Kluyveromyces lactis: one gene and its partners. The protein of the gene in region 3 purifies or fractionates together with the protein of the main gene of each other region. This does not show direct contact. Links are inferred from orthologs where the notes say so. Each region holds a gene or a part of one and is shown on either strand. Other genes may lie near its edges.

Region 1 (2,696 bases), on a different chromosome or scaffold from region 3:
TAAACATTTGTTGGACGTTGGTAGAGATAAAAGCGTAAATAATAAAAAGATGAGAAAGAAACCCCAAAAATAGTAGTCCTTGTGAAGTGAGGAAAGGTTGTGATGAATTGGTCAGATTCCAATGTGAAGCGAAATATCTTTATTTTATTAAGACACCAGGATAGAAATAAAACTTATAATAAACCGTATCCAACCCGATGATATTTTTCTATAAGAAACAAAGGGATCGATATCATGATTTGATGTCCAAATTAAAAGGGCATTTGAGGATGACAACTGGATCAATTTTTAAGTTTTCTGGAATAATTCTGCGTATATCATTGATATAATCGCAGATTTAAAATTCGGTACCACATGATAATACGAGGGAATCTGGATACTATATCAATGCCCAAAACTTCTTAAGTGTCCGAACTTCAAAAAAAAAACAGAGAAGCGTATTTTGTCAAGGGGAAATTTTTTCTTGGAGTTCTTGCAATAGTTCTTATCAATAAAGTAGTTTATCTCAATGGGATGAAACGAGAGGTGGTGGCACCAGCTCTACCATGTCTAACTGGAGTGTAGGTGATAGAGAATTCACCCAAGTAGTGACCGACCATTTCAGGTCTGATTTCGACTTGGTTGAAGACCTTACCGTTGTAAACACCAACAACAGAACCAATCATTTCTGGAACGATGATCATGTTTCTCAAGTGAGTTCTGACAACAGCTGGCTTTTCATTTTCTGGAGCAGACAATTTAGCAGCTCTCAACTTCTTCATCAAACCAGCTGGCTTTTCAGACAAACCACGAGCGAACTTTCTTCTAACTCTGGCTGGGGCCAACTTAACGAAGTCTTCAGTTGGCATTTCCAACAACTTTTCTAGGTCAACACCCTTGTAAGAGTAGGTCTTGAAGGATCTCTTTCTTGGAGCAGCGGCTTCAGACATGTTGGCTTGCTTTCTTATTGTATGGTTCGGTGAGTTAAGCTAAACAACAAAAAGGAAAAGGAAAATTAAACCAAGCTCTATTGAAACCTTCTATTATAAAAAGAATACGTGAAATGAATTGCAATATCAACTAAAATCTCTATGTGAAATCAACAAAAGCTGTAACTATCAAAAAAAGCATTAAATTCAAACTGAGATTGTTCGTATTGGTGAAAAAGGTCGATATCCTCAAACTTCGCAATGATTCTGAAAAGTTCACCAAAAAAATCATTCAATGGTAGGACCCATACTAGGGAACCAAGCTGTTCGCAGAGACAATAGCGGAGGAGAAGATGGGCCCTATTCCCAGCTGGAAGCATGGGTTGGACGGGGGAGACGGTAAGGTTAGGCAGGAAGCTTTGCTACCGGTAGGCAGGCCAGTAAGCTTGCACTCCGTGTACCCAACAGGGTGGAGAACAGGGAGGGAGTGGAACCGGAGCGTAGGAGGAAATTGGCGAGTCTGCCTACAGATTGTAAGTTCGGTGCGAAAAAATTAGTAAGTGGTGAGACTCAAAATGAAAATAAGGGACTGTTACCACAATACACCACATATAAAAATGCGTTTAAATCCTATTACTATATGTACACCGCACTTTGTTGTTTTCTTACCATCCATATCTTTTAAGTTTTTCGTCCGAAAAAGGAAAACATCTAGGCGACCAATTCCACTGATTTTCTTTAGCACTGGAAAATCGAGGAATCTGGTTCCCAATCTGCAATTCGATGGAATCAGTGCGAGAGTTAGTACTCTCACAGTGGAAAGCTTCAACGCTTTCCAATGGCGCCCGGTAATTCTCTCTACCTTGACGAATCTTCAACATTTTTGTCAATTGATTAGAGGTTTACAATACACGTTTAAGGTTTAAGTGCCTTTATATTTTAATTGTTAAAGGCATAATACTGTTTAATTCTTGGTATAGTTCACGTAATTCTCCCCAGAAACCTCGACAAATATTGAACGCTTAAAGATGAAGTACTTGGCCGCTTACTTGTTATTAAACGCCGCTGGCAACACCCCATCCTCTGACAATGTCAAGGCTGTTTTAGAATCCGTTGGAATCGAAGTTGAAGAAGAAAAGGTTTCTTCTTTGTTGTCCGCTTTGGAAGGTAAGTCTGTTGAAGAACTTATCGCTGAAGGTACCGAAAAGTTGGCCTCTGTCCCAGCTTCTTCTGGTGCTGCTGCCTCTGGTGCTGCTGCTTCCGGTGCTTCCGAAGCTGCTGCTGAAGAAGCTCCAGAATCCGAAAAGGAAGAATCTGATGACGACATGGGTTTCGGTCTATTCGATTAAACAAATCAATTTTAAAGGGACTTACACAATAATGAACAAGAACTTTTGATATCCTGAAATTTTTGCAAGGCTAAACCAGCAATAACTTTCACATAATGGATGTTATGGTTGTTCTAATTTTTCTATCTATTCTTTTATTATTCTACGTTTAACGTTTCAAACCTCATACAAACCGTTCCTCACACACGCTCAGCATTTGCATTCAACGGGAACAGAATAAATCAAAAGGTGGGAATTCTTTGCATTTTTTTGTAAGGATACCTATGTACTATCCATTGCCCATTATCAATGCTTACTATTCATGTACAACTACATCAAACCAGTATACAGGATCTATATCTGATAATAATAAAAACATTACTACTCAGTGATTTTACTCAAAATATAATCGGCGCTGTCCTACTGTCTGTAATGGCTGACAATATACAATTGAGTTGTA
Region 2 (4,219 bases), on a different chromosome or scaffold from region 3:
GTTTATCCTACAATACAAGAAAGCGTGGTGATAGATTAGGGTTCTTGGATAGAAGAAGTAACGAATGATTAATAAGCAAGATTTTAATTCTGCAAGGCAATACACGAACCTACCCATCACACTTATTTATTAACAACACACACAAACACTGCAATGACTAAATGAAACAATCTAGAAATATATCCTGTTCTTTACTGAAAGATTCCTCATGTAAATAGTGCTTAAAGAAAGTGAAATAAAATACAAACTATTGATATCAATATTATAATAAAGTTTAGCTAGGTAAGAAAAGATAGGCCGAGCACATAAGAAAGATACGGATTTTTTTGATTGAGAAACCACGCAGTCACACCGGTTGAAATTGAGGAATATAAAACAAACAACAAATGAACTGAACTTCTAGGATGTCTAACGAATAGATTCGAAAGCAGAGACAATCCGTTCGTTATTAAGGAAGACTTTATAATTTCTCAGTCCAGTAATTTCAAGAACGCAATATCTTATTTGGATTCTTCAAAATAGTCAGCCATTTCCTTGTCTAAGTCTTCCAAAGACTTCTTTTCTGGCTTAGCTCTTTTCTTTTGCTTAGCAGCAATGGCTTTCTTGTTTGGACCGGCTGGTTTCTTCTTAGGTTGAGGCTTTGTTGGAGCTGCCTTCTTGTTTGGCGCGGCAGCCTGAGCATTCTGTACAGGGCGGATTCTGTCCAATAATGTCTTTCTGCTTGGATCGACAATCAACGTCAATCTCAATTTGGATTTACCACCATCAATTGGTGCGTTGTGGAATTTCTTTACAGCTAAGTTAGCTTGTTCTGCGTTCTTAAAGGTAATAGTGGCCATACCAGTGGAGTTACCCCTTTCGTTGTAACTCAACAAAGCTTTTTGGACACCACCGACTTGATGGTTGAAAAATTCCTAGTAATAATAAGGGAGCAAAATTTTTGTTAGTGAAACTATTCATAGATAACTGAAAACAGCGGAGTCTTCAATGAATAGTCCTGTAGGAAATCATTCATGTTTACAATTCATCATACATGTACGACCCGGTCAATTCTGTCACGATATGAAGTTAACTCTTAAACAGTAAAATATACCACAAATGGGTTTCATTAGGTTTCGATTTGAAGGTAGGATCTAACATGACAACCAACAAAAAGTAAGTATACTATAACTTTTCTCTTTTCTATTTTTTTTCTTGGAGAGTAAATCTGGAGTCAGTGATGAGATCTCAACCAGACAAGATAGAACATGTTCATAGCAGAATGACAAATGAAAATCGATTTCAAATCCAGCATACCCATCTCGATTTATTACATTCATTGAAACTTGCTTTTCAGTGGCGTTTCAATTTTTGCCAATTTTTTTGAAGTTGTCAAACACGACGACCTTGCTAAAAATGTCGCACTATCTTGAAGATTGAGGCATCAAGCTAAACACACACCAAGGAAGAGGTCAAACTTAATTGTTCCTACAAGGTGTACACCAAGTAATCTTCTTCAAATTCCCAGTTCTTTGCAAAGAGTTAGAAAAAAGAGAATAATACACTGGGCATCATTAAAAAATAGATGCATTGCCAAATGTAATAAATGGTAACAGAAACTCCAGTGACACATAATGTCACAAGAATAGAAGATATGACGAGAAAAAATAGATATACTTCATCTTTTCGGCATTTCCCAATCGTGATTCACTACCGTTTCTCCATCAAATAAAATGTCGTAAATAAACGAAGTTCAGTGCATAATTTTGATGAAAAGTTCTGTCAACTTAGAGGAGAAAAACGGAAAGAAATCACAAAGGAAGGCTTGCTGAAAAGCGAAACCCAGCCAATTGGATAGCTAATTTCGTTTTGTTATATTTCATTAGCTCAATAAAAACTAACTCTGAAATAAATTATTCACACATCAATATCAGACCTCAAAAAAGGTATCGATCGACCGTTTCTTCTTAATCAAATACACGGGAATGTATGATCGTATAGTAAACATAAGGATGGAATTCCACAGGATATATCCGTTGTAAACTTAAATTAACCGCAAGTCTTATTGCAGTTTGATCCGATTTGTTTTCGCAATCAGTACAGTAGCATCTCGACAGTCCTTTTCATTAGAAAAGAACCTACTAAGAGGCCATGGCTAAAATGGGACATACTTTAACAGCGTCTTGGTTAATGTCTCTTGGCAAACCCTCGACATTAACTCTAGTAGAAATAGGAGCTCTTAGCAAAGCTGGCACTAGGGCAGCAGCAGAAGCAGCCTTCTTTGGAACTCTAGAAGGACCGGCACCTGTTCTGGTACGGCTCTTGTTGACTTGCTTAGAAACCTTCTTTGGCCCGGCCTTGTTGTTTCTTCTGGCATGCTTGGCTGAGCCAATAATTTCATCTAATGATTGATCTAGAGCAGACATTGCTTATGAGAGTGTAAAAAAAAGAATCTGATGGGTAGCTGATTCGAAGGAAATAACTTATAAAGTTGCTTGCCTTATGAAGTAGAAACAAAGAGAAATTTGAAGAACAACTTTCATGGAAAAAGGGAAAAAAATTCCAATGGGCAAAAATCTATGGCTCCTTTTATACAAAAAAAATCAAATATCAAACTTTTTGTCCAATTCTTTTCAAGAAAATCAAAACCAGCACGATCAACAAAAGAGGGTAACGATTGTCATTTTCTAAGATCTGCTGCATATGTAACGGTGTACTTACTTCATTCCTGACATGATAAAGATTTTTGTGAATAACAGTCATTTCAAAGACTAAAGATAATGCTCCATAATTTCGTCGAGGGGACTCATTTGTTTCCAACAAACATCGTTTAGCTTTATTTCGTGAATTGTAAGGCCGCAACAACTGAAAAGTAAAATCCGTTGATATATAAGATAGACAGCTATTCGATCAATCTTATGTTCAAATGGATCGCTTCCGCAGATAGACCCAAGTAGGCTGTGGCGGGAATCTTACAACGCTTAGTATCCAAACATTCTTCTATGCCTTCCTGTCATAAGCGAATAGAAGCCGAATTGAATCCATTTACAGTCCGGGTAATTTCATGATTATTTCACTGTTAGCGATATTATTTGGTTCATTTTATTTGATCGGTTCAAAAAGAAAGACGATGATGGGTCAAAATCGTGCTATTTTACAGCGAAATGATACAGACGTCTCACTGGCAAGTTAAATCTCCGAACGACGGTCAGGTGGTAAACGGACTGACTCTGTAATTAAAGAGGAAAGACCGCGCGTTCACCAGTTATGAAACACTCTTCCAAGGTAAAAACAGGATTGAACTTTCACCTACGACAATCTCAAAATGAACACACACACTCTAACCCCAATGTTCAATTTATAATAGCGGCAGAATTTGATAACAAATCTGGGCCGATAATAAAGCATCAATATCCAAAGACAATCCCTGGTTTTAAAACTATTGGGAGTGATTCCACTTGTTCTCATTTGGCCAGTTTGATGATACCGAATAGTGTGGAGAACCATCCAGGTAAACCAGATTTCACTGTTTTTGTCTTATACAAGAATCAAAACGTTTACCAGTTGTTTCCTGTATCCAAAAATAAGACTAAAGGTACTGACTTGGATTCCTCACTGATAATTGAAGAGGAAGACTTTGAAGAAGAACAAGAAAATGGACTGCGAAGTGGTAAGATTGGATCAATTAGAGATGATAGGCATTTAGAGGAAACTGAGCCACCATTATTTTTCTTAAGTGTCGTGAACACGTTTTTAGATAATTCAAATGATCGCGGTGCTTATATAAAAGCCATTGCACTGGGTACTACTATGACAAACTTTTACACATTTAAACCATTGTTAACAATGGTGCTTGATCACTACATGACATCGAATAACAACGATATTAAAATACTTATAGACTGTTTTGACATGATTAACAGTCTTGATCTCTCTTTGGTCATAAGATTCCATTCCAATGTTGTACTACAAAATATTCTAAACTCTATCAATGACGAAGAAATTACATCCAAAATATTTGATGCAAACGAAAACTCTTTGCCCAATATACTTAGGGTTAATGAGCTGCCCAAAAAAGACAAGTTCGGAAATGAGATTCAATTTAAAAACAGGATTCTTGAATATAAGTTCTCTACTTTCCGTCCCAAAGTTCTACCTGCTTATTTTACGAGGATTCCTTTGCAAATTGATCTAATAAAATATGATGCCATAAAAATAGATACGAATTATAATAATTCAA
Region 3 (3,959 bases):
TGGATCTACTAACCCCAATCCAGATTGGACTTTCGTTAAGCGATTTACAGGGGAATAAACCAGACAACTTCCCATCCACATGGCAATTCAACTTCCATTTCGACGTAACAAAGGAGACCGTGAATTCGGAATCGTTAGAACTATTAAAGAAATCCGGTGTCATCTTGGAGAGACATCAACAGAACGGTGTTGATTTCGACGAGTTTGCTCAGTTGATGATGGATTCCGGGTTATTGTTGAACGATGAGGTCACGTGGATCAGTTACCATGCAGCATACGATTACGGGTTCTTAATCAACAGGCTCATGAACACAAACATGCCCAACAACAAAGAGGACTTCGAATGGTGGGTTCAGAAATACATACCAACGTCGTACGATTTGAACCTAATTAACAAGTTAGTTCATGAGGTAACGCAACAACACCCACATCCACCACCATTACATCTATTACAAAGTCAACAGCAACAGCAACAAAACCAACAACAGCAATATACACTAGAACTACTGGCTGACGAGTTGGGGATTCCGATCTTCCCATTGTTCAGCAGCGCAGCGGGACAAAGTCTCTTGGCACTATTGGCATACACCCAACTCGGTAAATTGTCTTTGTACAAACTACGCAATGGAACAGATTTCAGTTACTACAAGAACCTGATCTACGGAATCACACAGGAGTAATATATGTGATTTTTATGTGCCAGCCTTTCATATAGAGTATCATCAATAATGCATTTATGTATGTGAATATATATATATACATACACAATCATTCTTAAAATAGGGTATAAAAGGTGGCTGACTAGCCACCGTCACTGAACTGAACTGATGCTGACCAGTGCGAAACCCACAGGTTGCAAGAGCGCAACCTGTGTACTTCATTCACCTGGCATCTCGTGAGGCATGATTTCATAAGATGATTGACGAGTTTTCCATTAAAAAATTTTGAAAATTGACTCTTTACATATAATCACTAGATGCAAACATGCACATACTTTGCTTGTGAGGGGCGTTTCTTGTTGTTAGGGTGTCTATTTGGTTCGCTTATCGGTTTTCATGCATTCATTAGAAACCAGACTTTAATCTTTAGCGATAAGTTTGAAGCGTGAGGCACATATACGGTGTTCGTAGTGCTGAAATTTCCCGTGAGTCTGGAAAAAAGCACCCATAGGAAATTAATACTTTTTTGTTATTGTATTCTAGTATACCCTATACTTTCCTGCTTGAATATCCACCGTTAATACACTTGGATTAAAACGTTGTTAGAGCGTTATTAGAGCGTGCTTTTCCCTTCTTTTTTTTTTTTTTGTTTGACAGTTTTATTTTTAATTCATTCAAAGGTCTTTCTGATTGACAACGATTGACTGTATTGCATTCATTTCATACACTTTAGCATTCCAATTTGATTTTTTGATACCCGCGATCGGTTTGAAATTGAGAGTTATCAAAGAATAGTTGAATTCTTTTACAAGAACCAGTGTGTTTTTTCCTGTTTAGATTAATTTGATACAATCACATTTGGTTTGGAAAATATGACCACTTACGATGTGAAAGAGATCGGATATGCGTTCCTAAGGACGTACTATGAACGTATGCATAATGATCCATCGAAATTGTCGTGTTTATATTCTACCACGGCGGAATTGACCCATGTGAATTATAATGAACCTATCAAGCATGACAAAGATTATTTAAACACCGTCAAGTTGATTGGTAAGGATAACATCAACAATTTCTTTACCAGAAACAGCAAGCGTGTACAGGATTTGAAGGTCAAGATTGATTCGTGTGATGTGCAATCTACTGGGTACGAGAGTTCTTCGATTCTGATATTGATATTAGGGGAGCTATGCTGGACGGATTCACCATCTTACAGATTTTGTCAGTGCTTTATCCTGGAACCAGCAGAGTATAACAGTAAAGTCTACGATTTGAAAAACGATATCATTCGTTTCATTCCTGACCTTGCTCCATTAGTGAACCCAGACCAGCCAGTATCACCACCATCTGCTGTTGTTGTTGAAGCTGAGAATGAGAAGCCAAATGTCAACGGGGACGCAGCTCCTGTTTCTGTTCCTGTATCTGTTTCTCCAGTAGTGGTAAAGGCAGCAGCGAAACCGGTTGAGATTGTCAAGCCAATTCCAACTGAGAAGCAACAGCCCTCTACTGCTCCAACGGAAACAAAAGTGGAACAACCCCAAGCCGTTTCAGTAAATAAAACTAAACCTAAGGAAAATGAGGCGATTGCGCCAGCTACTGCTCCTGCTGCTATTGCAGAAAAAGAAAAAGAAGACAAGGAAGACGAAGCACAAGCACAACCAAAAGAGCAAGCGACTTCAGCATCAGCCACCCCAACCTCAACGACAACCCGTTCTGAATCGGTGCCCCCACAAGAGGTTCCTGAAACAGAAGTCACCCCAAAGGCTGAACCAGTGAAAATGACTTGGGCAGGCAAACTCAACAAGACATCTAAACTAACTACAAACTACATCAAGGTAGATCTTCCACAAAAGAAGTCTAAAAGTCCACCTCCAAACGGATTCACCAAGTCAAACAAGAAAAGCAAGCAGCAATCGAAACCAATAGGCGACGTTATCATCCAAAACAGCAGCGGTTTCTACCCAGTATACGTGGGTAACACAAATGGGTTGACCGCATCCGAACTTGAAAGAGCTCTAATAAAAGAATACGGTGATGTCGTAAAAACCTCATTCCAAGATTCGTTCGCTGTGGTTGATTTCAGAGAAAAACCTGCAAGAGACGCTGCCATCGATGCTCAACATTTAAAAGTCGGTGAAAGAGTTATTAATTTAAACCCAAAGGGCGATAAAGCTTCTAAGTACAAAGCCAAGAACAACAGCAACAATAGTAATAGTAATTCTGGTAACACTAATCACAACACAAACGGCAACAGTTCACATAATTCCCCATCACCAGAACTCTCGTTAAACCAAGGTAATTCCACGCTTAAAAAGAGCTCAGTGAAATCCCGTAATGACAAATCAAAGAACTAATCTCATGTACTTTAATCGTAAACCCAAATCATCTCAAACCTAAATGAAAGGCGTGATAAAACCATATTATAAAAAAAAAAACCATAAAAAAAATTAACTAAAACGATGAAACTATGAGTCGGGGAAAACTTGTTAAATATATCCGTATGTAACCTATCCACATGTACATTTTATATATTTCCCTCTCACTATAAGCATATCACCGAAACATTATTGTTGTCTTCCCTTTTTGTTCCTTCTTTCTCTAAGTCACAACCCTTTGAAGTTGGTTCGAGCTTGATGAAATTTAAAGGAACAAAGATCTTCATGTGCACATCACAATGATAGAAAAGGTGATTGGCAGAAAGATCAGTGCTGAAGCCAAGGGGACAGGTGAGGAGATACAACTCTAGGGTCATAGAAACCATCAGCTATGTTAGTTCCTCCAGCGAATTTCGGGATTCCCGAGGAAGGTATCTATCGATGCAGTAAACTTGAGACCATTAACCTATCATTTTTGGAGACTTTGAATTTAAATACGATCATATTCATCGGTGGTCAAATCCCGAGTAATTTCTTCAAAGAGTTCTTCGCCACTAACGGCATAGATTACTTTGTCATTAAGACCTCTGGTGATTCGAGTTCTTTGGTAGCCCCAGATCACAAAAAGCGTCAATCTTCTGCGAATCATGGTGAGACGAGACGGAAGAGTCTTTGTGATAACTGTCACTACAGTTACACACTCACGGACCAAGACGATTTGATGCTAATCAAGAGTCAGAGCATCCGGCGAATATTCCGGATACTGTTAGATGTCTCGTACCATAACGTATTGTTAGTGGATAAGACGTCCGCTGTGATTGGAATATTGAGAAAGATTCAGAAATGGGAACTATCCTCGATAATCAGCGAGTACAGGCTATTCACAGGGAAGAACAAGAACTACTTTGCAGAGACGTTTTTGGAA

What was found. Proteins that work in one complex are often made in the same cells at the same time.
Region 1: the proteins of BRE5 (region 3) and RPS15 purify together in Saccharomyces cerevisiae (affinity purification with mass spectrometry; 3 studies listed by BioGRID). This does not show direct contact. The link is inferred for Kluyveromyces lactis from reciprocal best matches to the Saccharomyces cerevisiae genes BRE5 and RPS15.
Region 2: the proteins of BRE5 (region 3) and YRA1 purify together in Saccharomyces cerevisiae (affinity purification with mass spectrometry; 3 studies listed by BioGRID). This does not show direct contact. The link is inferred for Kluyveromyces lactis from reciprocal best matches to the Saccharomyces cerevisiae genes BRE5 and YRA1.

The regions. Positions count from the first base shown.
Region 1 is NC_006042.1:739,161-741,856, forward strand, and holds RPS15 (40S ribosomal protein uS19), read right to left. Parts: upstream 930-2,696; coding exon 501-929; downstream 1-500. Other genes in the region: RPP2A (ribosomal protein P2 alpha), read left to right, coding at 1,937-2,257. UniProt on the Saccharomyces cerevisiae protein: Component of the ribosome, a large ribonucleoprotein complex responsible for the synthesis of proteins in the cell.
Region 2 is NC_006041.1:255,145-259,363, reverse strand, and holds YRA1 (RNA-binding protein YRA1), read right to left. Parts: upstream 2,406-4,219; coding exon 2,151-2,405; intron 915-2,150; coding exon 501-914; downstream 1-500. Other genes in the region: COI1 (Coi1p), read left to right, coding at 1-68; AFI1 (Afi1p), read left to right, coding at 3,247-4,219. UniProt on the Saccharomyces cerevisiae protein: RNA-binding RNA annealing protein. May have a role in pre-mRNA metabolism. Component the TREX complex, which operates in coupling transcription elongation to mRNA export.
Region 3 is NC_006039.1:1,666,368-1,670,326, reverse strand, and holds BRE5 (Bre5p), read left to right. Parts: upstream 1-1,531; coding exon 1,532-3,013; downstream 3,014-3,959. Other genes in the region: CCR4-NOT core DEDD family RNase subunit POP2, read left to right, coding at 1-680; OCA4 (Oca4p), read left to right, coding at 3,426-3,959. UniProt on the Saccharomyces cerevisiae protein: Has a role in de-ubiquitination. In conjunction with UBP3, cleaves ubiquitin, leading to the subsequent mono-ubiquitination of sec23.